Elephas maximus indicus: one gene and its partner. The protein of the gene in region 1 binds, or shares a complex with, the protein of each later gene. Links are inferred from orthologs where the notes say so. Each region holds a gene or a part of one and is shown on either strand. Other genes may lie near its edges. The genes, in order: IZUMO1 and IZUMO1R.

The links.
Region 2: the proteins of IZUMO1 (region 1) and IZUMO1R are in contact, whole or in part, in a crystal structure (PDB 5JKC), measured with the Homo sapiens proteins. The link is inferred for Elephas maximus indicus from reciprocal best matches to the Homo sapiens genes IZUMO1 and IZUMO1R. Residues at the interface, in NP_872381.2 of Homo sapiens: Met75, Val77, Tyr134, Val141, Leu146, Trp148, Lys150, Asn151, Lys153, Glu155, Val156, His157, Ala158, Arg160, Lys161, Ser162, Tyr163, Asn239, Ser240, Ser241, Pro242, Ile245; in NP_001186135.1 of Homo sapiens: Lys42, Tyr44, Glu45, Ile48, Leu58, Trp62, His65, Leu66, Asp67, Gly80, Leu81, Leu82, Met83, Pro84, Gly85, Arg87, Ile91, Met145, Ser146, Tyr147, Gln171.

Annotation. Positions count from the first base shown.
Region 1 is NC_064829.1:99,131,517-99,146,545, reverse strand, and holds IZUMO1 (izumo sperm-egg fusion protein 1), read left to right. Parts: upstream 1-8,417; 5' UTR 8,418-10,442; coding exon 10,443-10,677; intron 10,678-11,608; coding exon 11,609-11,683; intron 11,684-12,300; coding exon 12,301-12,387; intron 12,388-12,674; coding exon 12,675-12,695; intron 12,696-13,222; coding exon 13,223-13,303; intron 13,304-13,465; coding exon 13,466-13,566; intron 13,567-13,797; coding exon 13,798-13,951; intron 13,952-14,233; coding exon 14,234-14,399; intron 14,400-14,669; coding exon 14,670-14,709; 3' UTR 14,710-14,792; downstream 14,793-15,029. Other genes in the region: FGF21 (fibroblast growth factor 21), read right to left, coding at 906-1,196, 1,875-1,978, 2,282-2,516; FUT1 (galactoside alpha-(1,2)-fucosyltransferase 1), read left to right, coding at 5,226-5,259, 5,742-6,832. UniProt on the Homo sapiens protein: Essential sperm cell-surface protein required for fertilization by acting as a ligand for IZUMO1R/JUNO receptor on egg.
Region 2 is NC_064825.1:26,704,723-26,720,592, reverse strand, and holds IZUMO1R (sperm-egg fusion protein Juno), read left to right. Parts: upstream 1-9,760; 5' UTR 9,761-9,798; intron 9,799-11,305; 5' UTR 11,306-11,308; coding exon 11,309-11,446; intron 11,447-12,754; coding exon 12,755-12,943; intron 12,944-13,441; coding exon 13,442-13,577; intron 13,578-13,741; coding exon 13,742-14,010; downstream 14,011-15,870. UniProt on the Homo sapiens protein: Receptor for IZUMO1 present at the cell surface of oocytes (oolemma), which is essential for species-specific gamete recognition and fertilization.

The DNA of each region.
Region 1 (15,029 bases):
TAGCCGGGGGTTACCCAAGATTTCCTGGAAACTGTAGGTCAACTCCCTTTCCTCACATCCTTCCCAACCAGCAAATGAAAAACGACACGGGAAAGTAGGTGTGGGAGGAAAGGAAGAACAGGCAACTGGCTTGCCAGGATTACATGATGGTCATTTCACTCCAAAGTCTATAGGACCTGGATAAAAGAATTTGGACCTCCAGCCCCTCCTCCCTCAGACCCAGGAGTCTCAGACCCCTCAGACTCAGGCATTCTGGCCTTCAATCCCCTCTTCCCTCAGTCCCTGGAGTCCAAACCCCCTCCTCCCTTAGGCCAGGCTGTCTAGATTCTCATTTTGCTCTTCTCCTGGGACCCAAGTGTCCAGGTGTTCAGCTTTCTGGTCATTCAGGACCTAAAAGTGGTACCCAACCCCACCCCCCGAACCCAAGTGTCCTTGCCCCAAATCTGAAGACCAAGCTATCTTCTCATCCCTACTGCTAAATGAATCCAGAAAACTACACCTCCCATGAGGTGTGGCGCTACAGTGTCACACACATAAAAATTCCGTTATTTTGGTAATCTGAGAAATATAGTTCCATGATGCTAACACAAGGTGAGGGCTTGTGAAGCCTGTCCCGTCAAAGGACATGAAGAGTCTAGAGTCCCTGCGGACACTAAAGCAGAGCAGAAAACAGCCCCGGGGGAGGCTGGGACCTTCCCACAGCCTTACAGCAATGGGGGACCTTCAGGGTTCATGGGGGATGAAGAACCTGGTCTCATATCTTCCCTCAGACATTCACACATGAGCTCACTCTGATCTTCCTCTCTCCAACTCTTTATTATCTCACATAAGAAAAATGAAAAAAATAAATAACATAAATAACCCAATAAATAAAAAGGAGGCCCAGTAACAATCCACAAGCAACTTCAGGAGGCATAGCTGGGGCTTCGGCCCTGTGAAGGCCCCACCATGCTCAGGGGGTCTGAGGAGTCCACATCAGGGGGCTCAGGGGCCAGGACCCCTGGAGGTTCTTGGAGCATTGGGAGCAGGCCTGGCAGTGGCAGGAAGCGGGCTGGTACCCGGGATGCTGGGTCCCTATATGGGGAGTTGTGGGAGGGCAGGCGGATTGGGAGTCCATGGGCCTCGGACCGGTAAACATTGTATCCATCTTCAAGAAGCAGCTCCCGGAAGCTGCAGGCCGCTGGGTCGAAATGGAGCTGGGGGGACAAATAACAGGGATCAGAGACAACGTGATTCCTCGATACCCTCCTGCCGCGAGACCCAGGATTCCTGGCCCCCAGCCCCCTCTTCTCTCAGACGCAGGAGTCCCCAAACCCAGCCCCTCCTCCTTCAAACCAAGGAGTCCCCAAATCCAACCCTTTCCTCTCAGAAACAAAACAACAAAAACAGATTTCTCTGATACCCTAGGGCAGTCTTGCAAGGCCCAAATCCCTCTACCCACTTCACAGAGAAGAATGTTCCAGCCCAGGTTCCAGTCAGGGCTCCATGAGGCCAGGCAGGGGGCCTGGCCACCACCCAAGATCACACGGTCACTTCATGGGCCATGAGACTCCTGAGTGTCCCTGCATCAGGCATAAGCCAGGCACACAGGAGCCCATGTGGTCAGGAGCATGGGTCACAGAGTCACAAGACTTGGCCTCTCAGGCCACTCGGCCATTCACCTGCCTCATGGGTTGGGGGCAGTGAGGTCCCTGCCTGAGCCTCAGTGTCTTCATCTTGCAAACGCTGATCACAACAGTTCCCACCTCCGGGGGTACCAGTGAGGTTGGGGGACGTAGAGAGCACAGAACTCAGCCTGGGCCAGGCAGAAGTGCCAGACATGTCATCCCAGAGTGTGATGGCAGTTTGCGGGAGGAGGGGGCTCTGAAACTTACCGATCCGTACAGCACCCCATCAGGCCCCTGGCACAGGAACCGGGATGTCTTGACCCCCAAGATCTGAATTATTCCAGGCTTCAAAGCTTTCAGCTCCAAGAGACCTGATAAGAGAAAGCAGTCAGGGGCTCAGAGGACATTTCCCAGCCGCCTCCTCCCTTAGATCCAGGAGTCACAAAACCCGGGCCCCTCCTCCCTCAGACCCTGGAATCCAGGCCCCCAGCACCCTCCTTCTTCAGACTCTGGTGTACAAGCCTCCAGCCCCCTTCTCCCTCAGAACAGGGAGTTCAGGTCCCTGGCCCCTTCCTCCCTCAGGCCCAGGAATTGGGGTCCCCGACTCCTTCTTCCCAAGACCCTGGGCTCTGTCCCAGCCCCCACGGTAGGACCAGACCCTGCCTTGCACTCACTCTCAGGGCTCCGGTGGGCGGCTCCCGCCACTGTGCCATCTGCTCTGATCTCCAGGTGGGCCTCGGTCTCCTGGGCATCATCTGTGTAGAGGTAACGTTGCCGGACCTGGCCCCCGAATTGGAGGAGGGGGCTGGAGTCAGGGATGGGGTGTCCCTGGCAGGCCCCCAGCAGAAGGACAGCCATCACAGGGACCCACAGTCCTGGGTGCTCCAACCCAAACTTGGCCCAGTCCATCAACAGCTCAGGTCCTCTGGCGAGGTCTGGGGTCTGAGATTTGAGGAGCTGAATGGTCTAGACTGGGTTCCAGAGCCTGGTGGTCTGGAAGAGCAGGTTTAAGGATTGCTGCTTGGGTACCCTGAATGCCTGGGTTCTCTTGCTCATGGACTCCCAGCCAACAGGACACCCAGTGTTTTGGGAAGGATGCAGAAGCCCCAGAATTTATATCCAGACAGACCCGCCCAATCACCCTCCCCAAGCCTGACCCATGATATTTGACCTACTTGGCAGGAGCCAGAATTCCACTGTGGCCAGGTCAGCCTGAATGGATGATGTAATCTGGGGGTCCTTCCAGCTGGGGGCCTAGACTCCTGGGTCTGGGGGAAGAGGAGGAAAGAGAACCTGATCACCATGACTTAGAATGAAAAGGGCTGGGGGCTAAGATTCCTGGGGCTGGGGCAGTTGGGGCTGGGGTCAGTACTCCTGGGTTGGAGGGAGGAGAGAGCTGGGGGCCTGGATTCCTGGATCTTGAGGCAGGAGGGGCTGGGGCCCAGACTCCAGGGTCTGTGGGAGGAGGTGGTGGGATCCAGGTCTCCTGGGTTTAAATGAGGAGGAATGGTGGTACCAGGACTTCTGGGTCTGAGGGAGGAGGGGGCTAGGATGCTATAAAACCCCCTCCCAGACTGGCTGAGGCAGATTTTGTTCCCCAACTGGAATTTCTCCATCCCATTTAGATGTCTAGGTTTCTGGGGGTAGGGCGGGAGGGATCTGACAACGAGGCTCTTTGATCTTCTGAAAACAAAAACTGCCACATGAAAGAAGAGTTTTCAGAAGGGCTGGGTTGTCCAGGCCTCTCAACCTCTCCCTGGGCTGGTGCCAACCTGCACCTCACCAACCCCTGTACAGACTTGGAGACAATGAATGTCCAGCCTCCTCCTCCTCCTCCACCTCTGATGCAATCTTGGTGTTTCTTTCGCCAGAGAAGCTACCCAGAGCTCCAGACAGGTGCTCCCAAAATAGCCGAAGAAGGGAAGGGCTGGCCAGGGTCTGACTCAGGGTTTGTAGCTGAGCCAGACCCAGGAGGGGAAGTTAGATGCTAGAGCTGAAGAGTGGGGTTGGCCAGTTGCCTGGAAGCCCCCAGTAGTGCAGGGTCTGGACTTCGCAGTCTGAAGGAGGATGGACTGGGGACCCAGACTTCTGGGTCTGAGGGAGGAGGGGGCTGGGTGACCCAGACTCCTAGGTCTGAGGGAGGCAGGAGTTGGGGGTCCCTCTCCCCAGCGACTCCTGGGTCTGAAGGAAGAGGGGGCTGAAATCTGGGACTCCTTGGTAGGGGAAGAGTGGTCTGGGAGCTGGAATTATGGTCTGAGGGAGGAAGGGGCCAGGGGCTGGATTACTGGGTCTGAGGGGGCAGGGGGTTGGAGTCCAGACTACTGGGTCCTGGGGTGGAGGAGGTTGGGATCTGGACTCCTGTGTCTCAGGAAGAGGTGGCTTGAGGCCAGGACTCCTTGGGGCCCTGACTCCTGGATCTGAGGGAGGAGGTGGCTGGGGTCCCTGACCCCTGGGTCTGTGGAAGAGGTGGCTTGGGGCCAGGGCTTTTTGGGACACAAACTCCTGGGTCTGAGAGAGGAGGAGTCTGGGGGCCTAGACTCCTGGGTCAAATCTTTGGCAAGTCAAGTCAAATTCTTGCACATTTTGCATCATCTGGAATGACAATGGTCAGGCTGGTCATGCGAGGGGGATGGAGGTATGAGTGGGGGTAGGGGGAGCTAGGGGAGCGGTGTTGACAATGGAAGCAGCCCCAGGTTGGCAGCAGAGGGAGAGGAGAGGCCTTTGTTCACTGCTGCAGCTGCCGGGGCCTCTGCGGGGTGCAGGGAAAAGCATGTTTCCATTCCGCCTTTTGGGAATAGGGCCTCTGGGGTGGCTGGTCTAGAACACAGCAGTTCGTTGACACACTCTTGAATCCCAAGAAAGGAAGGGCAGGGGTCTGGGACTTTTGATTTCCTTGTGTGGACCAGATGGGATGGCACATTTGTGGCCCCTCTAAGCACCAGACCACCTGGAAGCTGGAGGCTCTCACACCTGGGTTCCCGGTACTGGGAACAGGCTTTCCATTTGCTCCAGGAGCAGCTCGGCAAACATGTTCTCAGTTCCCCCAGGGAGGACGCAGCAGGGTGAGGAGGATCTTCCCACCTACCTGGACCCAGGTGTCTGGGCTCTGCCACAGTGGTTGGGGCGTGGCTGGGCTGGGTGCATCCAGGTAACGTGGGCACTTGGGAAGCCCAGGCACTAGAGTAGGTAGGAGAGGGCGATGGTCCGAAATGCCCAGGTCCAGAATTGAAGTCGGGCTCCAGCTCTCTGAAGCTACGGAAGGATGTTTGTACCTGGGGGCCAGGTAAGCAGCCCGGGCGGAGACTTCTGACTGGCCGAGGACGCGGGTGGAGAGGGCTGCGGCTGCGAGCTCCCGGCACCCCAAGAGTAGAGGGGGCGGGCGCTGCCACCCTAACCCGGGTCATCCAGGCTGGGCACCAGGAAACGGGGCGGGGCGGCCCCGCCTCGGCGGTACCTGGACAGCGCCGGGGGCGGGGCGGGGGCGGAAGCTCGAACATGAGGCGCGCCCCCTCCTACTCCTCTCCTTCCCAAGCACTAGCTGCTAGTGGAGGGAGGCAGGGCGGAGGGTACGGCTTCTGGGCCTGGGGACCTGGCGTCTGTGATTCCGGAGGTGGCCGGATGTGGGCTGAGTTTGCCGACTCAAGGAGCTCTGGTGAGTGTGCGTTGCGGGAGTCTCCAAGCCAGGAATCCGGCCTTACTCAGGAGCGCGCACTCCCAACCCTTGCCCCCGAGACCCCGGGAGTCCTCCGCCCTCACCTCCGATTCCTCTGGGAGTCAAATTCTTAACGTGGTCCTGGATCTCCAGCCCCTGCTTTCCTTTCTTCCCGGTGATGGACTCAGCCACTCACACAGGTCCACCTGGGAAAGGGGGCTGGTGGAATGGTCTAAACTTCAGGGGACCTTACAGGTAGGGAGCAGGAAACTCCAAGAGGTGGGAAAAGGCTCAGGATCCTGCACCGCTGTTGTTCTGGAAACCGCAATTGTTGCCATCTTCCATTCCTTTTCCCCAAGATCCCAAGTCCCCAGCTTCTCCTCCCTCAGACCCAGGAGTCCCTGCCCCCAGCCCCCTCCACCCTGAGACTCCTACTCAGACTCTGAGCATCTATCTGCTAATTCACTTTTCCTCCCCTGCAGCCATGTGGCCCCCCAGCCATCGTCACCTCTGTCTGGCCTTCCTAGTAGTCTGTGTTCTCTCAGCAATCTCCTTCTTCCTACACATCCACCAAGACCTCTTTCTAAGTGGCCTAGACCTGTCTGTCCTGTGTCCATACCGCTGCCTGGGGACGTCCCCAGTGGCCATCTTCTGCCTCTCGGGCACACCGGTGACCACCAACACCTGCTGTTCCTATCCCCAGCGCCCTGCCTCCCTCTCTGGAACCTGGACCATCTACTCAGATGGCCGGTTTGGTAACCAGATGGGGCAGTATGCCACCCTGCTTGCCCTGGCCCAGCTCAATGGCCGCCAGGCCTTCATCCTGCCTGCTATGCATGCTGCCTTGGCCCCCGTGTTCCGCATCACTCTGCCCACGCTGGCGCCAGAGGTGGACAAGCACACGCCTTGGCGAAAGCTGAAACTCCACGACTGGATGTCCGAGGAGTATGCCCACTTGAAGGACACCCACTTGAAGCTCTTTGGCTTCCCCTGCTCCTGGACCTTCTTCCACCATATCCGGGAACAGATACGCAGCGAGTTCACGCTCCATGAGCACCTTCGGGAGGAGGCCCAGAGAATACTGAGGCCGCTCCGCCTGGGCCGCACTGGGAACCCCCCGCGAACCTTTGTGGGGGTCCACGTGCGTCGTGGGGACTATCTGCAGATCATGCCCCACCACTGGAAGGGTGTGGTGGGTGACCGTGCTTACCTCCAGCAGGCCATGGACTGGTTCCGGGCACGGCATGAGGCCCCCATCTTTGTGGTCACCAGCAACGGCATGGAGTGGTGCCAGGAGAACATTGACACCTCCCAGGGGGACGTAATTTTTGCTGGCAATGGGCAGGAGGGCTCACCAGGGAGGGACTTTGCACTGCTCATGCAGTGCAACCACACCATCATGACCATCGGCACCTTTGGCTTCTGGGCTGCCTACCTGGCTGGAGGAGACACTGTCTACCTTGCTAACTTCACCCTGCCGGACTCCAACTTCCTAAAGATCTTTAAGCCAGAGGCTGCCTTCCTGCCTGAGTGGGTGGGCATTGCCGCAGACCTGTCTCCACTCCAGATGTAGGCAGGGACTTTCTGGAGTATCTTGGTTAATCTAGAGCTGGCAGTATGCATCTCCTGAGACCTGGCAGCTTCTGGAGAAGTGTGTGGTGTTTCTGGAGCACATGGGCACCACACCTTCCCCTACCCAGAGTGATTCTAATTTGCCAGGCTTTGAGATGTGGCAGGGGAGTGGCTTTCTGGAACTGCCGGCACATTCTAGAGCTAACAGAATATTTTTTCCTGACTGCTAGCAATCTCTGGAGCTCGTGACAGTTCTAGTGTCCACCTGCTCTTCTCAGCCCATATCCAAGTACTTCTAGAAGGCTACCTCCCAGGAAGCAGGGCATCCTCTACTGTTAACCATCTTTGTGTTTTCTAGAAAAGGTGGCGTTCCTCCCCTGAGTCCTAGGAGAACTGATGGAATTTGGTCCTTCAGTGGTTGTTCTAGAGCAAGCATGCAACAGCTCTTCTCTTCATGTTTCTGGAATGCTTCTAGAGGGGATTTTACTCTAGAGTGGGTCAGGTATGATGCCTGTGAAGAGCCCTGCAGGGCCCTTCAAGAAAGAATGAGTTCTGGAATTCCAGATAACTTCAAGGAAGAATTTAATGCAAGTACAAGCAGAAGGTTAACATGCCATCACTGCCAGAAAGATTGAGAGTTGGGAGATAAATTCTCTAGCTGGCCAGCAGGAGCCCTGGTGGTGCAGTGGTCAGGGGCTCAGCAGCTAACCAAAAGGTCAGCTCTGTGTGACAAAGATGTGGCAGTCTGCTTCCATAAAAATTACAGCCCTAGAAATCTATGGGGCAGTTCTACTCTGTCCAATAGGGTCACTATGAGTTGAAACCGATGGCAATGGGTTTAGTTTTTCAGTTTTTAGCTGGCCAATTGTTCTGCTCACAGGCTCTGGAAAATATGGAGCAGCTTGTGAGCAGGGCAGGACTCTAACAGGAAATCCACCACGGTTTGGTTTTTTTTTTTAGCAGATGGACACTGGGGAGGAGTAGGTTTGGGTGGGGCATGAAAATGGCTGCTTAAATGATCCAGCTTCAAGAACAGGCCTTTCCAGATATCCAGGGACACTATTTTATTTAAAGCTCAAAAACTACTAAAGGCTGAATGGCATACCTTGGCTCCAAGTTCAGTTTGCCTCTCACAATTAAGGAGGTTTTCTTCTCTGCCGTTGGGCTGCTAGGGATACTGGAACCTGTTTTCTGGGAGTCAGTGGACCATAAACATACTTTCTGGGCTCGCAAAAAGCCACAGGTACTCTCCCCTTGCCAACAAATGTCTGCTGGTGTGAATTCACAGAACTATTAGATTTAACTTTGGGCAAGTTTGGGATGAAAAGATCCAAAGTTATACGTGCTGACGTGGCGCCCAGCCCCAAACTAGGAAGGAGCACACGGTCCGGTCAAGGAGGACGGGATTCTGCACTCAGATTTCTGGAGCACCTTCCTGCATTTTTGGAGGGTGAAGGAATATACCTTTATTTCAGTCAACCTCTGCTCATGTCCCGCATTCACCCATCCAAGAATTCAAGTCCCTTCTTTATCTTATCAGGGAGTTTTGGGGGACCATTCCCAACTCAGCTACCACAGGTGGGAGCGAAGAGATATGAATTAGAAGCCCAGATCACCAACCTCAGTCTGCAGCTTTCTTGGAGGTGTGTGTGTATGTGTGTGTGAGAGAGAGAGAAAGGATGAAGGTTGGGAGCTTCCGGGGACTCTATTACCCACCAAGTCTTGGGGCGTTGCTCCTGCTCAGATCTGGCAGCCTCTGCTGCTAGACTTACATGACTTGCTACTAGTTGTCCCTGTTCTTCTGGTGGCCTATTTCAATGAGGCAGAAAGGCAAGGAGAGAGACTTTCCAGAACTCAGAGGTCTGAGCCCTCAGTTTCTTTTGCCAGAACCCTCGGTATTGGATTCCAAACAACGCTTCCCTCAAGGACCTTGGCATCCAGCCCCACAGACTAGAGAGGGAAGGTGAAGAGTGAGCTGACTACAATTCTTGAACTACATTTCCCATAATGCTGTGAAGTTGGCTGAAATGAAAATACAACCAGAAGGTGAATACACCACCACTGCCAGAAAGATTGAGAACTGGAAAATAAACTCTCTAGCTGCTCGGTTGCTGCCTGGAGAAAGTGACCCCAGGGCCTTCTGGGAGTCGTAGTCCTAGGGCTAGAAACAGCCGCTCCCTGCGTTTTATTAGCTCGACGCCAAGGTTTCAAAGAAGGCATGTAGCCGGAAGCCTGGGTCCTGGGGCCAAGGAAGGGGAGATGTCAGGTCCTGGGAAACAGGAGCAAGCAGAGGTCTTCCCCTCGGTAGACGACTAGAAAGCTCTTGCTTGAAAAGACGGTCGCCTCTGTGACGTCATGACGCGATAGGCGAGACCCATCTTTGTTGTGGTCCAATCAGGTTCAGAGTTGGGCTTCTGGGCGGGGCCCAGATATCTTGGGAATTCCGGATCCCGACGTGGAAAGTAAACTGGAGGCCGCGGGAGCTACTTGTAGAGAAGCGCGACCCGTGACTCAGACCCCAATCGAAAAGCCCCAGATACCACGCACCCTCACCCTCACCTCTGACAAAATCCTTCATTTTAGTCGTGGGAAAATAATAGAAGGACGTGGCCCGGGATTCTCTAAAAGTCCTCGGAACCTGGACTTGGCTTTTCAGCGAACCGTAGTGTTGGCGGGCATAACAGGGACCCAAGGTCAGGCAGCGGCTTTTGAGGGTGCATGGGAATTCTTCACTTCCTAAGAATAAGGGTGCCCCCGCAAGTTGGGGGTCCCTTACTCTTGGAGAAGGGTGGACAAGGGCCCCCTGGGTTTGGAAGACCGTTTGTTGGGTGATCAGGTTTTGGGGGCTTGGGGTGCATTTAATTTGAGGGAATTTTGAATTTGATAATATCCTGGTTGGTTTTATATTGGCTGGTTTATTTGGTTTGGACGGTGAGTTTTCAGCCGGAGGTGCAACAGGCTTTGGAGGTTTGGGAGGCTCTCAGTGTTGATCCAAGGAGCTCTAGTGGCGCTAACAGTTAAGCGCTTGGCAGCAGACCAGAAGGTTGGCGGTTTGAACCCACCTAGCAGCTCCGCGGGAGAAAGGCCTGGCAATATGCTTTCATAAAGATTATAGCCAAGAAAACCCTATGGGGCAGTTCTAGTCTGTCACATGAGGTCGCCATGAATCTAGTCGGTTCTACTGCAGGTAACAACAACAACCACAGCAATGTCCATCGACTTAATGTTGGAGGTTCAGGATGACATCAGTTTGAGGAGTTGGTGGTCTCTGGTGTGGGTATTGGGAAAGACTGCATGGGATGGGGGTTCTTCAGTTTGAGGACTGGTGAGTACCTCTTGTTTAATAGGTCTCTCATTTGAGAGTCAATGAGGACCCTAAATTTGGGGACCCCTGGATTGACGATTCAATCATATTCCCCACTTTGGAGGTATCTGATGAATATCATCTGTTCTGCAGTTTGGGGACTCCATGGATAAGGGGCTCAGTGGGGTGTACTGAAATGTGTTTTGGCCTTTTTCCATTTAGCGTTTGCCTCTTCGGTTTTCAGTGAGAGGACCCTCCCTGGGGCGAGAGGGAGGGGGGTCTACGCGGATCACGCTCTCAGGCCACAATGGGACCACAGTGCCCCCTACTGGTGGTGGCCCTGGCCAGTTGCCTGCTTCCTGCCCCTGGCTGTATCATCTGTGAGCCCTCGGTAGTGGCGGGGCTGAAGAGCTTGATGACAGATTACCTGCCTAACCACCTGCCACCGGAGGCTCAGGAAAGCCTGATGAAAAGGGTAGAGGCCGCAGTGCGGGATTTCAAGGAACTGCCGAAGGATGATGAAACCTACATGGGGGCTGTTGGTGAGGGCAGGGAAGAGCACGGACTTCTGGGCCTTGAGGAAGGAAGGGGCTGGAGGCAGGACTGCTGAGTCCAGGGGAGGAAGGGGCTGAGGGAACGGTCTCCATGGGTTCTGGGAATAGGGAAGGCTGGGGTGCAGATTCTGAGGTTCCCTGGGACTAGTAAATACTATGTTCCCTACCCCTTATCCCACAGTTTTATGTGATAAAACTACAACCCCCAGAAGACATGGCAGGGGTGGGGGTGGGGCGAATCCCTTGCCAGGCCTATCACTGCCCAGCAGCCCCACGGGTATTGTAGTTTCTAAGACTAGGAGGCCAGTGAGGTAGTGACACTAGAATCTGGGGTCCTATCTCCCTTCTTGGAAACCCTGGTGGCTTAGTGGTTAAGAGCTATGGCTGCTAACCAAAAGGTCAGCAGTTTGAATCCACCAGGCACTCCTTGGAAACTCTATGGGGCAGTTCTACTCTGTCCTATAGGGTTGCTATGAGTTGGAATCGACTTGACAGCAACAGTTTTGATTTGATTTATCCCCCTCCTCAGAGCCCTGGTGGCGAAGTGGTTAAGAGCTACGGCTGCTAACCAAAAGGTCAGCAGTTCGAATCCACCAGGCGCTCCTTGGAAACTCTATGGGGCAGCTCTACCCTGTCCTATAGGGTCGCTATGAGTTGGAATGGAATCAAGGGTACACAACAACAACATGTCCCTCCTCAAGGAGCCCTGTGGAGCAGTGATTAAGCACTGGGCTGCTGCTAACCAAAAGCCTGGCAGTTCGAAGCCACCACCCACTCCATGGGAGAAAGATGTGGCAGTCTGCTCCCGTAGATTACAGCCTAGGAAACCCTATGGGGCAGTTCTACTCCGTCACATGGGTTCTCTGAATCAGAATCAACTCAACAGCAATGGTTTTCTCAATGGGTATCTCCACCACAGATGAGCCCACACTGCAAAAGGCATCCTGGAGTTTTCTGATGGATCTGAAACGCATCATGGACACTGGGGTAGAAGGTAGATCCTGGGGATGTGGGAGGGTTGGATTCGGGAATCATTCAGGGAAGCGGTGGCTGGTGATGCCTCATGTGGTCAGATCCTGGAATCTGGAGCTAGACTGTCTAGGTTCAAATCCCAGTTTTGCCACTTTCTAGCAGTGTGGCCTTGCTCAAGGAGCTTCAGAGTTTCCTCATCTCTACAATCGAGACCATAGCAACAGTGCCTTCATCAGTCAGTTGCTGTGAAGATGAAATGGATTAATACATGTGTGTTGTGTGGCACAGTGGCCAGCATTATGTTGTTATTGTTAGGTTCTGTCAAGTGGGTTCTGACTCATAAGGACCCAGTGTAACAGAGGAACTGCCCCATAGGGTTTTCTAGCCTATAATCTTACAGGGTCTTTCTCCCGTGGAGCTGCTGGGTGGATTCCAATCACCAACCTTCTGAACAGCAGCAGAGCACTTAACCGTTGCACCACCAGGGCTCCTTGGCATTATATTTCACTTGCTTTCCCTAAGAAGGCAAGAAAGTAGAACGTCAGGTTCTAAAGACAGACGCAAACTTCCTGCACCTTGCATGGGGATAGGAGGAGGAGTGGGGGAGGAGGGACCATTCTGCTTCTTGCTTCTTCCCAGGTGAACTCTTCATAAAAGAGCTATTCTGGATGTTGCACCTGCAAAAGGAGAGCTTTGCCCACCAGTCTGCTCATTTCCTAAGAGAATGTGAGAAAAGATTGCAGTCCCCGACCTTCCACTGTCCCAAGCGTCCCCATCCCTAGCCCCTCAATCCTCTCCTCCCTCAGACCCAGGAGTCCCACTCACTGGATCCTCCTCCCTCAGACCTAGGAGTCCAGGCCCCCAGCCCCCTCCTCCCTCAGACCCAGGAGTCCAGGCACTCAGGCCCTTCCTTCTTCAAACTTAACAGTCCAAGCCCCCAGCTTCTTCCTGCACCCCTACTACCATCCCTTTTTATTTAGAAATCTGACTCTTTTTTTTTCTTTCCGTGGCAGTTTATTGTCCCAATAAATGTGGTGAGTTCGGATTATAAAAGGTAGTCTCCTAACCCCATTCCTGCCCCATGAATACCTAACCTCTCCCTCTCCCATTTTTGAGGCCCGAGTGTTTTTTTCACTCTATATCTGAGTTTCGTGGGTCTCCAGTATCCCTTCTCCACCTTGGACTTCTTGGGGAGTGGGTCGCATTCTCTTTTCACTCTCTTTGGCACCTCATTCCATCTCACTTCCTACTAGGCTGCATCCTAGCCTTGCCCCTTGGCCTGACCTCCCTGGCATCGGACACGTGGCCCCATCCCATCCCTATTCTTTTAGCTCCTGCCTCTTAGCAGATGGAAACCCTGGTGGCATAGAGGTTAAGTGCTATGGCTGCTACCCAAAAGGTCAGCAGTTTGAATCCACCAGCCGCTCCTTGGAAACCCTGTGGGGCAGTTCTACCTTGTCCTATAGGGTCACTATGAGTCAGAATTGACTGGAGGGCAATAGGTTTGGGCTTTTGGGGTTTTCTTAGAAGGTAAATGCAAGCTTTGACCCTGCTCGTTCAGGTTTGATGTTGCAGACTCTCATCTGGTGTAATAACTGCGAGAAGGAGGTTCACGCTTGCCGGAAATCCAAAGATTGTGGGGGTGAGAGAGCTTGACCTAGCGGAGGGGGGATTGGTGAGAGAGGGGTAGGGCCAGTTAAGAGAGTGCCTAGACTACAGGCAGATAACGAGGGGCCAAATGTAAGGCGGTGGGGAAGGCGAAGACCTCGAAGGGGAGAGTCCTGTAGTAACTCCCCATACCCAGAGCGCCAAGTCGAGGTCCAGCAAATGGAAGACATGATCCTGGACTGTGAACTCAACTGGCATCGCGCCTCTCAAGGCCTCACTGATTACAGCTTTTACAGGGTGGGGCCCCCTCAACTCCTGTAAACCTTGAACTCCCCATCCACTGCCCTGCACCTATGATAACCCATGACCATGACCAGGGCCTCCACTGACTCCCTTGGCTCCATGCCCTTGACCAGTGATAACCTTGGACTCCCTTCTCCCCCACTGAGGCCCCATGATCTCTCACCCCCCCACTCCCCCAACTCCTGAATGTCCCAGGCCTCTGTGACCCCTTGAGCTTGGGTCTAGGTTTGGGAGAACAAGACTGAGACCTTGGTGTCCAAGGGGAAAGAGCCCACCCTGGCCAAGCCCATGGTGGGTCCAGAAGATGCAGGCACCTACCGCTGCGAGCTGGGCACTGTGAAAAAGAGCCCAGCCACAATCATCCATTTTCGCGTCAAAGGTCAGTGCTGTTAGGTTGAGAATAGTGCAGAATTCAGGGCCCTGGATGTTGGGGTCCACTTCCAGGGAGGGACTTCAGGCTATGGGGGCGGGACTTCTGCCCAAGGCGTGGCCTCTGGCCACATGGGCAAGATTTCCTTCTGCGTGTGGTGAGGTTTCCTGCAGTTTGAGGTGTGACTATCTCGTGGAAGGCAACGGGGCTGGGGAAGGGTTGAGGGTGTTGCTTTTTTCAAGTGAGGCCTTCACACCCTTCCCGGATTGCTCTTCCCCCCTCTTCCATCAGTTTTGCCCAGAAGAATCCAGGAGGAAGCACTGCCACAGACCACCACAGCTCCGGGTGTGATAACCACAATCCATCAACCGCCCTATCCCGACAAGATGCTGAAACGCCATCTCATATGGCTGCTGATCTCGGGCATTGCAGTGGTGACAGCCGGCACTGCGACCGTGTGAGCCGCCTGCTGAAGGAGGCGGGGCTTGGAGTGAGGGGCGGGGCTTCCCGCCACCTGGAGCAGGAGGGAGTCTAGGAGCCACTGAGTACTGAGAGCAACACTTCAACTGGGGTGGGGCTTAGATAAAAGGGTGGGGCTTACTTAGAAGAGGGGGTACTTGGGAGAGAGAGCCTTGGGTGATTGCTAGAATACAGTCATGTTGAGGGGCTGGGAGGGGTACCCTCACTCAAGACCTAACCTGGTTCCACTATTTGCATAATATCCCAGGATATTTTTCCTTCGACCTCGGAAGGAACGGGATTCCTAAAAGCCCTCCCGGTTCCCCTTTGGCAAGGGACCTGCACAACACCCTCAGGTTCCAAATCAAAAGATCACGGTCTCAAAGAAACAATAAAGATTTATTTTGTTGTCCAAGTATCTGACTCACTCCTCCAGACTGCTCCTAACTTTTGGTTCCCAGAGAGGAGAGGTCTGAGGATGGTCTCCTGTCTGAGGGAGGAGGGGCTGGGCACCAGGATGCCTGGGTCCTGGAGGGGGGCAACTCTCTGCGATGTCATTCCAGAATCCTTGATGGGGCAGGGCCAGCCCTACCCAGATCTCCTCCCCCAAGCCTGGTCCCCTCACAGG
Region 2 (15,870 bases), on another chromosome or scaffold:
CATTCAAGAACGTCACAAAATGTTATATATATATATCATATTGGTCGGTAACAGAGGTCTCTAAAGAATCACAAAATTCACTTTTCTAAAAATGGCAACTGCTTAATCATTGCATTGCCAGAAGCCAATTTACATACAGTCTTTTAGAAAATTAATTTTTCCTTATCTATCTTTTCAGTTGTAGGCACAAGGGCATAAGGAGCTAAATATTTACCACCTTAAAACTATTTACTTTCCACCCTTTGCTTTCTATAAACCACAAAGTACATTGTGGACTTTCCAACCCTTCTGTGAGTTTTCTCAGACGTTTTCAGCATAAGACAAAGACTAAAACAAATCTAGAAAGCTGCATGTTTATTTTCTCTTGCCTATGAAATATCAGCTGATCCACTTCTAGTCTTAAAACTTGAAATGGTGTAAGTGCCTAGGAGAAAAACAATTCATGACCACATGTGCCAAGCCTCATGGTTTGTAGAGTTGTGGGGAGTCAGGAAGTTGAGTAAGACAAGACCTTCGAGGCACAGGTCATCTAGTAATGGGTGAGAAGTGAATGAAGAACAGAAAAAACACTTTTTTTTTTTAAGGCAGAAACCCATGAGCTTGGACATCACATATCTATAACACTTATAACTGTAACTATACACAAAAACTGAGGTTTCTCAGAATTTTTCCTGGTGTGTTTCTTGGTAAAAATGAATCATACAGAGAAGCTTTCTTATTAAAAAAAAAAAATCACTTCTTTACTTAACAAATAACTACTGAATGCCTATACTGTTCCAGGCACCACCATTAACACCTGTGAAATGGGCAAACATAGTCTGTCCTGGTCCAGGAGCTTATAGCCTAGTGGAGGACACATATAAGTCATCAGCCAATTCCAGAATAGTGTGGCAAGTGTCATGATTGAGGTGACCCAAAGGCAATGAGGGCACCAGGAGGGACATCTAATCAGATTTCAGCCTCCTTGAGTTTGTGAGGTCTAAATTGAGACTTAAAAAATGGAAGGAGTCAGCAAAATGAAAGTATGGGGTGTGGTGGGGATTGAGGGAAGGGCATCCTATGTAAAAGGGACCAGCATGTGCAAAGCCTGGAGCAAGATTGAGCATGGAGAATTGGACGTATTAAAGACAGCTCAGTTTAGCTGGAGTTTGGGCCTCCTCCCTTTCCCTCAACAAGAATAGGGCAATGGTTACCATTCTAAGGCTCAGGCCAGCTGTGGCTCATATCCCTTGGATGGTGGGCTAGGAGATGTGGGTAGAAGACACACTGAGGCTAAGCGTTATCCTCTGGGCATCCATGGCTGGACTGGACCACTGGACCATATGTATTATAACAATGTAAAATTGTCCCTGTCTAAAAGAACATATATAGGAGTATTCTAAGACCCTCTGAAAGCAGCTATGGATAGGTTTGTGTCTGTTCAAACACACTTTCAATTTTAACCACACTAGGCTATCAGGATGGAACATTCAAGGATGGGTGCTGAAAATTGAACTATGAGGAAAACGTACTGTCCATGGATACAGAAAAACTGGGTTCTACTGCAGGTTCAGACTCCTGCAGGTTCTCACACCTGGCATGTCCCATTCATTCATTTAAACATTTAGAGGCTCTTCTATGCACCATAAACTGTGCTAGGGGCTGGTAACAGAATGAAAAGAGAAATTCCTCACACTTAAGGAATTTAGAATCTAAAGGGGGAGGTAAGCAAGTATATAGAAGATCACAATAATCTGTAATAAATTCAATGCTAAACAGAAGTACAAGAAGCCATGAGAGCCTGCAGGAGAGATCCTAACCCAAGGAAGGTCAAAGGCAGACTTTCCAGAGGTGATGCTGCTAAGTAGAGACCTAAAGGATGAATGGTGGATGAAGAAGCAGGAAAAGATCAGCCCTGCAGAGGGAGCTGCAGGTGCAAAGGTAGAGAGAAGTGGCGCATTTGGAGGAATGGTAACTAGTTCAGGGTGGCTAGTGTGTAGGGTGGGGATGGATAAGGGAGGGAGAAGGGCTTTTGCCATAAATCACAGACAGCTTATGAAGAGCCTTACATGTCATGTTAAAGCATTGCATGAGGTAGGAGAGGGAGAGGAATCCAGGACAACTCCAGGCCTCCAGCCTGGATGACTGGAGGAATGAGGTCCCATTAACCAAAATAGAAAAGCTGAATGAAAGAGTTACTAAGAACAGTTGGGACATAATGAGTGTAAGGTACCTGTGGAAAATCCAAGGGAAATACCACTGGAGGCATATGGATATGCAATTCTAGAGGGTCAGGACTGGACAGAGAGATTTAGGAGCCACACACGTATAGGTGATCACTGAAGTCACAGGAGGGGTAAGATTGCCCAGAGAGGATAAACAATAAGAACAGAAGAGGCCCAAGGACAGAGCTCAAGAAAACACTTAAGTGGCAGATGGAAGAAATGGAGCCTACCAAGGAGGCTAAGAAGGAGCAAATTGAGATGTAGGGAGAAAACCAGAACAGAGCAGAGCCCTGGAAATCAAGGGAGAAGTGAGTTTCAAGAAGGTAGAAGGGAGTACCTTGGTCAAAGGCAACTGAGAGGTCAAGTAGGATATGGATTGACCCTGCCCATTGGATTAAAGAATTGGGAGACTGCTGGTGAATTTGGCAAGATTGGATTCCACAGGATGGTGGTGGGAAGCCAGGCTACAGTGGTTGACAAATGAATGGGAGGTAGTACGGAGGAGCCACAAGGAACATAAATGAGTCTTTGGCTAGGAAGAGAAACAGAGGGACAGGACTGAATCTAGGGTGAAATTTAGCACCAAGGGACAGTTCCAGAGATGGGTGTTGAGAGAATTGAAAGAAAAAATGTTTTGAGAACAGCTACACATTGTAAAACTGCATACAAACCTTAGTTACTTATTATTAACACTATCTGGTAGACCCAGAGGCAGACTGGCTTGAATTTAACAAAGGAACATTAACAACAGGGAAAATTTGTGTTGAAGAGAGGAGTCTCCAACCTGACAAGAAAAATAAGCTGGAGAGTAAAAATTTTTGTTCTTTGTGGCATAGCTTTCTCCGCTGTGTCTAATTCTCAGTTAATCTCTTTCCCTTAGAATTTTGATGCTTTTCTATCAGTCCTTTCATTACTTGGACTCTCTCCAACCCTGAGAGGCTTCCCACTCATCTCCATTGTTGTGATTAGGCCTAAAAAGTGGCCTTCCTCAAGTGGTGATGAAAGGTCCCAGGATTAACAGTCTGAAATCTCACAGAAATCATCAAAAAGTGAAGGTGTTCCAGTCTGAAAGTCTGAGGATGAGGGAGAAAAATTGCAGAGAAAAGAGAGTGGAGAAGAAAGGAAGAGAGAGAGGAAAGAAAGAGAGGAGGGGAGGGGAGGGGAGGGGAGGGGAGGGGAGGGGAGGGGAGGGGAGGGAGGGGAAATAGAAGAGGTCAGTTTAAACTACAACGGAGAAGGAGAGGGGAGAATAGGACAAGTGACTGGAAGAAAAAGGGGAAAAGGAAGGAAGGGGGAAAGGGAAAGGGAGAAGAGAAGGGCAAGTCAGGTTAAACTAGGGAAATGTCTGTATTAAAACAATGTCTTTAAGAAATGCATTTTTTTTTTCCAGGTATTCTTCCTCTTTTACTCAACAAACATTGATTGGATATCTACTCTGGGCCAACCACTGTCTTAACACTGTGAACATTACCGTGTCTATCCCCAAACTGCTTACAGTCGAGAGGTGGGGACAAGCCTGGAAGCAGGCATGCACAATGTCGGGTGGTAAGTGCACTGACAACGGTAAGCACAAGACACTAAGGGACATCTAGCCAGTCCCTGGAGTACCAAGGCAAGCTTCCCTGAGGAGAAACTAGCCCTTCAGAGAGCTGAGGGGTAAATAGGAGCTAGCTAGATGCAAAGGGTAAGCTATGAGAGAAAAGCCCTGGCAGAGGGAGCCATATGTAAGGGAGCAGGGCACTTGCAGACCAGCATGGTAAACAAGTGCCTAGAGTATAGATGAGAGAAAGGACAACAGATTAAGAAAAGTAAATAGGACGAAGACTGAAAAAGGCCTTGTGTTCAGTGCAGCACTATTCACACCAGCAAAAAGGTGGAAACAACCAGAATGTCCATCAATAGATGACTGGATAAACAAAATACAGTATATCCATACAATGGAATATTATGCAGCCGTAAAGGGAAATGAATCCACATGTGTGCTCCAACATGGATGAACCCTGAAAACATTGTAAGTTAGTCGCAAAAGGACAAATACTGTATGATCTCATTTATATGAAACGAGTATATAGAAACTAAAGATTACTAACAGTTACTGGGGTGGGAGGGTGGGGGGGAAAGAAGAATATTTTGTTTGGGGGGCATTGAGTTTACGTTAATGATGGTGGAATATTTTGGAAAAGGAAAGCGATAATGGTGGCACAACATGAAAAACGTAATCAATGCCATTGACTTTAAATATGGAAGTTGTGCTAGCAAAAGTTTTGTTGTACGCATTTTCACCACAAAAAGAAAAAAAAAAAGGTCCTGTGTGCCATGTTAAGGATTTGGGACCTTATCTTAAGGTCCAGAAGTGTTTTAAACACAGGAATATGGTAACCATCTTTACATTTTAAAAAGACCATTCTGAAAAAAAAAAACTAAACGAATATAGAATTCTCATTAATGATATGGATATTTGAATTATTTAGAGGGAAATATGCTTGGGTCTGTAATTTACTTTGAAATGCATTTTTAAAAAGATGGATTGGTGGGTAGATAAAAAATACCTGTTGGCGTTGAGTTGATTCCGACTCACAGTGGCTCTATAGGACAGAGTAGAACTGCCCCACAGGGTTTCCAAGAAGAGCCTGGGGGATTTGAACTGCAGACCTTTTGGTTAGCAGTCGTAGCTCTTAATCACACGCCACCAGGGTTTCCAGATGGATAAAGGGATGGATAAATGGCTAGATATGTGACAAAGAAAATACAGTAAAATGGTAATAATGGTAGAATCTAGGTAGTAGGCATATGGATGTTCATTGTAAAATTCTTTCAACTCTCTGTATTTTGAGAATTTTCATAACAAAATGCTGGGGGTGGGGAACAGATCATTCTGGCTGCTGCTTGAATAAAGATTTGGAAGGGGGAAGTTATGGGGTTGTTGCAGGAATTAAGGCAAGAGATAATCATGACCCAGATCGTAGGGATAGAAAAAGGGGTAACAGAATTTGAATTGAAGAGATATTTAGAAAGTTAAGTCATTCAAACATTTACAGGCTCTTCTATGTAAACTGTGCTAGGGGCTAGTAACACAAAGATAAACAAGTTCCTCACCCTCAAGGAACTCAGAGTCTAAAGGGTGGGGGGGGGGGCAAGCAAATATACAGAAGATTACAATATTCTGTAATAAGTAATGTTAAACAGAAGTACAGGAAGCCATGGGAGCTTTGGTGATTGAATGGATGTACAGGGAAGGAAGAGGGAAGGATAAGATACCTAGGGATACCTGCCCTAGATGCAAACCGATGAAGAGTTTAGGCAAGGATGGTCAATAGATTTCTTGGTGAGAAGGACTCGTAAGAGCCACTAAGAACCAGCTTTACCAGTGTCTCCTCCAGCTGGCCTCTGATGTCAGTCTTGACACAAGTTCTGTGCTCTTTGAGCCTGTTCTTGAACTCAGTGAGCTTCAGCGCTTTGGGTGACCTCATGTATGATGGAAGCCTGGGGATGGGAGTCAGTCACTACTACGCCGCATCTCCTGTAGCGCCAAATCAGAGCTCAGTCTGGACATGAGACACCAGCCCCCCAGCCAAAGAGGCAACACACTAGCCTGCTCCATTCCCTGCTCCTGCACTCCTCGCTGTCCTCTCAGAACGCTCTGAATGTTGTTGGACTGCTTCTCTTGGCAATTTAAGTGTTCTGTTTTTGTTCTGTAAGAATAAAATTGTTTTGGATCAGCTGCTTCAAATGGTTTCATCTACAGCCAGCTTTGGTTTATCAGCTTCCAGGCAGAAAATAGACTTCTTTGGAAGATTCAGTAACAATAAGGCAAAAAAACAAGGTCTCTTCAAGGGCTGTAAACTGCCTCTCTGGGGAGCAGATGCTGGCTGACCACCTGCTCTCTGAAAGGCAACTTGGTAATTCCTTCCTCTCTTCCTCTCTCCCTCCTTCCTTTCATCGGCACCTGTGCTTGCTACAATTTTAGCTCATTTCTGACAGCCTTGTTCTGGAGACCATTAGCAAGTCCCTCCTCATCCTTCTTCTCTCCATATGAAGCCACCTTCAACCTTGTACCAGAGGACCAGTGCTCCATCTCAGTAATGACTTTTGTGATTCATTTCTGGATTTCTGTCCCTGCCACATCCACAGCCACCTTAAACTTAACATTAAAACTAAAATCTCAAGCCTCTTCATTCCTTAGAGCTTCTTGAATATTTGTGGGGGTTTGAACAGAACATGAGAACCTGTTTCTACCCCTGCCAAGTAGACACCCAGGTGAAGAGACCCATGCTACAGAAACTCCATTACCACTGGTGCCTGACCCTGAAGAGGGAACCTCAAGCTCTACTTTAGACAGGGATATGGGAGGCTGGGTTTGTAGCCATCACTTTGTGAATAATGCCAACACTCACTGTTGTATAACTACCACAAGTGGATGGCTTTAACAAAGAGAAATTTATTCTCTCACAGTCTAGGGGGCTATAAGTCCGAATTCAGGGCACTAGCTCCAGGGGAAGTCTTTCTCTCTCTGTCGGCTCTGGGGGAAGGTCCTTGTCATCAATCTTACCCCTGGTCTAGGAGCTTTCCTGTGCAGGGACTCTGGGTCCAATGGACCCACTGCCCTCCTGGTTCTTCATTCCTGGTAGTAGGAGGGCCCCCTCCTCTTTGTTCACGTCTCTCTTTTATATCTCAAGAGAGATTGACTCAAGATACAACTTAATCCTATAGGTTAAGTCCTGCCTCATTAATATAACTGCCTCTAATCCTGCCTCATTGACATCATAGAGGTTAGCATTTACAACACATAGGATAATCACATCAGATCACAAAATGGTGGACAAATACACAGTACTGGGAATCATGGCGTAGCCAAGTTGACACACATTTTTGGGGACACAATCCAATCCATAACACCCAGCCCCAACACACACACACACACACACACACAATCTAATTATGGGATTTAACTTAAAAAAAAAAAAAAATATTTCGTTTGAGACCCAGACAGCCCCTACTCTTTCAGTACTGGAGATGTCTCCATCACCTGGTCCATAAGAGCATCAGATACGGAATCAGGTATACTTGGGTTCTTGAGGCACCAGTGGTTCAATGGTAGAATTCTCGCCTTCCACGTGGAACACCCTGGTTCAACTCCCAGCCAATGTACCCATCTGCCTGTGAAGACTTGCATGTTGCTATGATGCCGAACAGGTTTCAGCAGAGATTCCAGACTAAGACAAATGAGGAAGAAAGGTCTGATGATCTATTTCCAAAAATTAGCCAATAAAAATCTTATGGATCAAATGGTCCTCCCGGCAAGCAATCATGGTGTAATGGATTGAATTTTGTCCCCCCAAAATATATGTCAGCTGGTTAGGCCATGTGTGGTTTTCCTCCATTTTGTGATTTTCCTATGTGTTATAAATCATAATCTCTACCTGTGGCTAAAAGGATTAGGGTGGGATTGTAACACCACCCTTACTCAGGTTACCTCCCTGATCCAATGTAAAGGGGTTTCCCTGGGGTGTGGCCTGCACCACCTTTTATCGCTCAAGAGAGATAAAAGGAAAGGGAAGCAAGGAGAGATTTGGGGACCTCATACCACCAAGAAAGCAGCACCAGGAGTAGAGCGCGTCCTTTGGACCTGGGGTCCCTGCACGTGAGAGGCTCCTTGACCAGGGGAAGATTGAGGTCAAGAACCGTCCTCCAGAGCCAACAGAGAAGCCTTCCCCTGGAGCTGACACTCTGAATTTGGACTTTTAGGCTAATTTACTGTAAGAAAATAAATTCCTCTTTGCTAAAGCCATCCACTTGTGGTATTTCTGTTAGAGCAGCACTGGATAACTAAGACACATGGGTATGGTACAGGACCTGGCAGCATTTCATTCTATTGTACATGGGGTTCCATGAGTTGGGGGCCAACTCAATGGCAGCTAACAATAACTGCACTCAGATTCTAGCTTTGCGACTTGCTAGCTGAGCCTCAGTTTCCTCATAGTTAAATAGGGAGGTTGATCACTGTGCAGTCATTGTAAGGAATAAGCGAGACTGTGTATACACAGCATCACCCCTGTGTCTGGCCCTTGGAAGTACTCAGTACATAGTGGCTGTGATTAGCAAGGAGTGGGAAATGTCATTTTCCAACATGATGATTATTATATGCTTTGCAGGTCAGCTAAGCAGTTGAATAACACAATATATTTGTTTCATTTTCTTCTGTTAAAAAATGCTTTTCAACTCTGTTCTCATTTCCTACATGTTATTAGCAAAACTCCAGTGGCTTCGGCTATTCCTATTTTGGAGGGGAAGCTTGTTACAAGAAACAGGCAAAGCAAGGGGCTCCTTTTCCAGTGTTTTCATGTCTTCGGGACTCTCCTAAGAGTCCTCTCCAAGTTTCACAGACTCTCTTTAGTGGACAAGGATATTTTCATGATTATTACTGCTGAGAGTGCTTGTAGAATATTTCACGGGACAGCGTTCCTGCTCTTGAGGCATTATGCTAAGGAGGCTGTTCTGTGGGTTGCAGAGGGTCTTTTTTTGTTTGTTTGTTTTGGCTTTGGTCATGCATTTAAATTCTTGGATCTTCAAGGCCACATACTTCATCTTCTGTGCTGCTGTGTACTGGTGGGTCTGCTCTCCAGCAGGAAGCTTTGCTCCTGTGAGCCGAGGAGGGTGCTGTTACTCAAACCACTGTATGGCCCACCCCAAGTAACTGAGCTGATGAAGGGGCAAGGACAGCTGCAGGGCTGGGCAGAGAGAGGCTCCAGAAAATAAAAGAATACGAATTTAAACTGGTAAGACTTACTGAGTGCTTGCTCTGTGCCAGACACCACACTAAGTCTTTTTCATGCACCAGGAGCCCTGCTCAGGTTAAGTGCTCAGCTGCTAACCAAAAGGTCGGCAGTTCGAATCCACCTACTGGCTCCATGGGAGAAAGACCTAGTGATCTGCTGTCATAAAGATTATAGTCAAGAAAACCCTATGGGGCAGTTCTACTCTGTCACATGGGGACACTATGTGTTGAAATCGACTCTATGGCACCTAACAACCCACCCACTGCCGTCAAGTTGATTCTGACTCATAGTGACCTTATAGGACAAAGTAGAACTGCCCCATAGGGTTTCCATGGCTGTAAATCTTTATGGAAGCAGACTGCCACATCTTTCTTCAGAACCTAACAACAACAACTCTAACTCCTTCTTCCCAACAACCCCATTGTACTAACCATTTTTACAGATGGTCGAACTGATGTTTAGAGAGTTTAAGTAATTTTCCCAAAGTCATCCAGCTAGTGAGTACCAAAGCTGAAAGCTGAGCTTAGTAACTGATGGAAGAATCCAGAATCTTAACCATTACGGAGTCTCTATTTCTCTGAGGAAGCAAACTCGTTGAGAATCCACCCTGTCCCATCTACAAGAGGCCACACTCTTGGGTAAGACAGATCCTGTTTAATGGAGCCGCCTAGAGTTCTGCTCTGCACCTGGGCCTAGTAGTAACAGGGTTGGGTAATAAAAACAGGTTTGGGTAATAAATGGGCAGGACAGGGTAATTCTCCTAAGTCTCCAAGTCTCTGGCGTGGGAGGGAGCACCTGAAGCATTCACTGCTCTGAAAGTGAGTATGGAGGGAGCACGGAAAGCACCTTCCCTCTTTGGTCCAAGACTAATGTACTTGATTCTTTAAAAATACTCCATAGCTGTTTATGCCCTTGTAACTTGTGCTGTGGACAGAGAGTGACCATAGATTTAGACTTGAGAATGGGCTCTGAAGGTGGAGCCCGGGGGTCTAGAAAAACCTAAGCTAGGCCTAGGATTTTCAGTTTCACTATGCTGGGTCCACTGCAGGCTCCCTCAAGGACTGGAGAACTGGGACAGCCATGGGTCCCCAAGGTCAGTGAAGGCTGAAGGAGCCTGTTCCCTAGTTGCCTTTTAAAAGATAGTGTCCTCCTGGGGCCTGGGTTTTTGAGGCATGGTTCCTCGATTCTGCCCTCTTCTGGGGGGAGGGGGAAGGAGGAAGGGGGGAAGGAGGTCTCTGTTTGTATTCCCTGTCATTACCATCACCATCCAGAACAAGGTTGGAAACACAGAGCTCAAATAAACACCAAGTGAAAGGCTGTCCTCCCCATTCCTGTGATGGGATTGGGCTTTGGAAGTGGAAGACTCCTCTCTCTGACTCAGGCCTGGCCATACTCCCTGGCTCTGAGATGCCAGCAAGGTGGCTGGGAACGTGGGGATCTAGCCTCATGCTTAGATGGATTTGAGATGGGATGAAGCTGGTGGAAGAGGAACGATTTCTATAGTGGAAAGGACTGGCTAGAAGGCCTAGGAACTGGGAAAGGACAAGCTTCTCCAAGGAGCTGTAGGTCTTGCTTGGACTGCTTAGAGGGGCTGGAATTAAGGTTAGCACTTGGTGGGGCAGGACTGGGTTTGTCATGCTACCAAGTCACAGCCTTTGGACCCTGGAGAATCTGATTACAAGGCATTTGTTTGGTTACTTGGCCACCATTTTGAGGTTCATTGCTGGCCAGGACCAAAGCTCTGAATCCTCAGCCCATATATCACTAAGTGGAGTCCCCAGGTGGTGCAAATGGTTAACATGCTCGGCTGCTAACTGAAAGGTTGGAGGTTCAAGTCCAGCCAGAGGTGCCTTGGAAAGGCCTGGTGATCTACTTTTGGAGTAATCAGCCATTGAAAAGGCTATGGAGTGCAGTTCTCCTCTGACACACATGGGATCACCATGAGGCAGGATCGAGTCCATCGCAACTGGTTTATATCACTGAGTTAAAAAGGCTGCCTCCCAGAGAAAAAAGGGCTGGGAAAAATTTTTCCAGTGAAGGCTGTGAACCTTTCTACCCCTGACTGTCACCTTAGGGCTCATCTTTTCCCCTCTCTGGACTTCAGTTTATGCATCTATACAATGGTTGAGGGTGAAGTGTCTAAGGTTTATTCTATCCCAGCCTGACCTTCTGTGATGTGCCTCAGGTCTAGGGGTAACTGGTGTCACCATCACTTGAGGAAACCTTGACCCTATGCTCCCTCCTCAGTGCCTGGTATGGTGGAGGGAGGGGGACAGGGGTGTCCTCCCCATTTTGTGAGCAGAGCAGGTCTCCCGTCTGCAGCAGGCCATGGCATGGTGGTGGCGGCTCCTGCTAGGGATGTGGACGGTCACAACTACGTGGTCTCAGGACAAGCTGCTCAATGTCTGCATGAACACCAAACACCACAAGACAGAGCCCAGCCCAGAAGACAAGCTCTACGAGGAGGTACGAGGTCAGACCTGGCCTAAGGGTGAGAGGGGGACACAAAGGCCACGATGATCTCTGAACCCCCATCAACCCAGGCTTGTCTGGTTCCTTAAGTTGGGATTTGGGCAAAGGCAACTAGAGAGAGACTATGATCAGAGACTGATTACCCAATAAGCAAGGTATGCACAGGCTTACTTGTACTTACTTACTAATCTGTTGTAAGTTCTTTACCACATAAAAGATGTGAAACCCATGTGAAATTATTCACTACAGATTAGTAAGTAAACGCAATTAAGCCATGGATACCTTGCTTACTGGTTAATCTGCCTTGAATGACCCTTGCTGACCATTAAGTCCAGTGATTTAAAGTTCCATCTCTGATGAGAGTGGAGGGACGAGTGTGCTGTCTCATTAGGGGGAGAGCAAGAGTATAGCAAGGTGTTTATAAATTTTTGAATGAGAGTCCGACTTGATTTGCAAACTTTCACTTAAAGCACAAAAAAAATTAAAGTTCCATCTCTGAGCTGTTCCAGCCACACAGGGAGCTGGCTCCAATGGTGATGCCAGAAGCTCATTGTTGGTTCAGCATAGATGAAAACAAACCTTGTCCTCCCTCCTACCAGCAGGCCCTGGGAAAACGTATTTCTGAAGTGACCCCTCCCTCAAGCTCCTGAAGGCAATTAACAGAGATCAAGAAGGAGTTGTAGGGTGAGCAAGATTTTAGTCTGAGTCTTTCTCAGGTGCAGGTACCCTCCCACCAATGCAATCCCAGATTCCCTGGGTCTCGCTGGGCTGCCTCTCTCTACCTGCTTCCCTCCAAAGGCCTCCACCACCTCTCAAGAGCTGAAACCCTGGAAGTCTTGCTTCTAGGCGACAGCAGCAGCCTGTGGCAGAGAGGTCAGCGTGCAGGGCGCCTTCTGCCCTTTGGTGTGAACACTGTCAAATCATCAGGGCTCCTCCAACAATCAAAGGAGCCCTGGTGGCACAACAGTTAAGTGCTCAGCTGCTAACTGAAAGGTTGGTAATTCGAACCCAACCAGCTGCTCAGTGGGAGGAAGACGTAGCAATCTATTCCCATAAAGATTACAGCCTAGGAAACCCCGTGGGGTAGGTCTACTCTGTCATATAGGGTCACTATGAGTCAGAATTGACTCCACGGCACCTAACAACAGCAATAACTTGACAACAGCAATAACTTGACAATCAGGATAGGGGGCTGCTGGCTTAAAGGGATCCCACCAGCCCTGGTCCTCTCCTAAGAGACATTTTTATTCTGCCCCCTTGTGCCCTAGACACTCAGCCCTTTGCTTCTTCCCCCACCTTCAGTGCACTCCCTGGAAGGACAATGCCTGCTGCACAGCCAACACGAGCTGGGAGGCCCACCTGGACATGTCCCTGCTCTACAACTTCAGCTTGACTCATTGTGGGCTGCTGACCCCCAGCTGTCAGAAGCACTTCATCCAGGCCTTCTGCTTCTACGAGTGCTCCCCAAACCTGGGGCCTTGGATTCAACAGGTGGGAAGGCAAGATGGTGGACAGGAAGAAGATGAGTGCAATGCCTGTTACTAAGAGGCTGAGTACCCCGCCCATCTTATGCTGGTGTCTCCAGAAAGCTAGTAGGAGCAGGAGGTGCTGTCCCCCTGTGGACAGAGCAGAGTTAGAGGCCCCCAGGTGGAAAAAGGGTGAAGAGGAAGCTACTTCAGCCCTGGAGAGGCCAGTGGGAGAGACTAGGCCAATGGGAACAATAGGATGAAGGACTGTCACCTGTGGTGGCTTGGTGGAGTTGAATGGACCTGAGTGCAAATTCCATCTCTTATATTTATTAGCTGCGTGATCTGGCACAAACTAACCTCTAGCCTTCATTGTTCTCATTTGTAAAATAACAGTACTTTATAGACTGTGTTGGTAAGAGGTAATGTACAGATGGTACATGGCACAAGTACCACTGTAGCTACTAATAGCCTTCAAACTGCTGCTATTAATGTTCTTGCCTGTTTCTGTGCCTGGACCCAGGTGGACCCGCGTGGGCAGGAAGAGGGCATCGTGGGCGTGCCGCTGTGCTGGGAGGACTGTGAGCAGTGGTGGGATGACTGCCGCTCGTCGTACACATGCAAATCCAACTGGCAGGGCGGCTGGGACTGGAGACGGGGTGAGTGTGCCCAACAGGGCCAGGGGAATGAAGCGGCCCCTGGGAGGTCTCCTACCTGGGGGCAGGTGTAAACCCCCCTTTCCTTCCACGGGCAAATGCTGGGGGTGTGGGAGTAGTGGTGGTGGTGGTAGGAGGGAAATTGTGCAGGCCTCTATCTTCCGCAGGGAAGGTCCGCTGCCCTGCAGGGGCTCACTGCCTCCCTTTCCCCGATTACTTCCCCACCCCGGCTGACCTGTGTGACAAGATTTGGAGCAACTCCTACAAGGCAAGCCCTGAGCGCCGCAGCAGTGGACGGTGTATGCAGAAGTGGTTTGAGCCGGCTCAGGGCAACCCCAATGTGGCTGTGGCCCGCCTCTTCGCCAGCCCTGCCCGGTCCTGGGAACTCTCCTGCCCCCTCCTGGTCTTGTCTCTGTTCTTGTCATTCCATTCCTGAGATCCCCGTTTCCCACGCACACGCACACGCACACGCATGCGCTTCCACCAGCTGTGGGCCAGGCCCTGGCCGCCCCTTCCGCAAGCCACTCCTTAGAAGGGGCAGCACAGGCTGGGGATGGAGAGAGGACATCGGGGCTGCAGGAGCTGGTGCCTGAACCTTACATGTTCCATCTTAGGCCCCACTCCTGCTCTCTTCTGCCTTACTGTGCTGGAGAGGCAGCTAGGGGCTGGATTTCCAAGGGGCTCTGCTTTCTCCTGATTTTAAGAATGGTGGCGGGTGCAGACGTGGGACTCAGGGACCTTCTCGTCCAGTGCATGCCTGTCCTTTTCTGTGGCAGAGCTGATGGGGCAGCCCTGGCCACCTGTCCTATGATGGTGCCTCCAATAAAACGGCAGTTGACCTTTTCTCTCTGTGTGGCCCCCTCTGTCCTAGCTCTGTGTGCAGGGAGCCAAGCTGTACAACAATGGGGCCAGTTGGTTATTACTTACCTAACAATTATTAACTTCAGGGCCCTCTCCTTACATCCACACAACATCTCTGACAAGAATATGTTCAACACTGTTTTTTTCAATAGTGATGCACCATACGAAAGACCCAAGGCCAGAATAAGGGATGGGGGCCACTCAGACCATCATCTCTACTTTGGGTACAAAGATTGAAGCAGCTGCCTAAAATGCTTTCTGGCTTTTCCTGTTTTAATCCTCCCTCCCCTGGTCTGGAATTTTGTAAACCTGAGTTCTAATCTGGCTTTACCGCTTTCAATATGACTTTTGTCAAATCCTTTGACCTTCATTAATGATTGTCTTGGTTTTGTTTTCCCCTTAGAGGAATGGGATAGTTGGGTCAGATGATTTAACTTACAAAAAAAAAAGTCACTGTCACTGTTTGCTTGGAGATAGAAAGTGCTTCTCAGGCAGTGCCACGTCCTCAAGGGTGAGACGCAGAGCTAGAGAGGTGGTGTTGACACTGCCTTCACTTCACGTCTGTAATGCACTGGGCAGCTTATGGCCCTCTTGAACCTTCCAGTGCCTGAAGCGCCACAGCTTCCCACACAACAGGGCCTTGCCCACATTCTTCTGCTTGGACTGAGAGAGCCCCTACTATGGCTGTCCTTGAGATGGCTGACTTTTCTAGCAATTATTCATTCTCTATAGACTCCAGCAAGCCCAGCTTCTCGGTTACCCTTGGCCTCCATTCCTTCTATACTTCCTTGAACATGCTCATTCACTGAACACACCCTGCTCCAGGTGGGGTACTGAAGTTATAAAAGCAAACAAGGTCCTGCCAAGGGAGCTGTTCACAGTCTGGAGTAGGATACAGAGAGAAGCAGTGGGGATGAAGCACTTCGCTGGAAGTCTGTAAGAACAGGGCCTGGGGCCAGGTGGGTGTCTGGAGAAGGCATGGCAGAGGGCCTGAGGCTTGACTCTAGCCTGGATGGAAAGAGGACAGTTCATTAGGCTGTGTGTGAGAACAGGAATGAAATTCTAGGCAAAAAGCAGCAAAATCCCCAAGACATGAAATACTTGCATTAGGACCTTTAATCGCTCTTAAATTGATCAAATAAATTGCAGTTTCAAAAATACATATAGGATGCTTGCTTCAGCAGCACATTACTAAAAGATTAGCATGGCCCCTGTGCAAGAATGACATGTAAATTTGTGAAGTGTTCCATATTTTTTAAGGAAGAATGAAGGGCAACTATGGTAACTACTATAGCTTAGACAGTCCTGCATCACTAATATTAACAATTTACAAATGGATAAATGGGTAGATAGCTACACCAAGAGGTGTGGGAGGATGTAAGGGAACACACCCACCAGCAGATATAGGTTTGATGGTGGATATTTCTACATACAT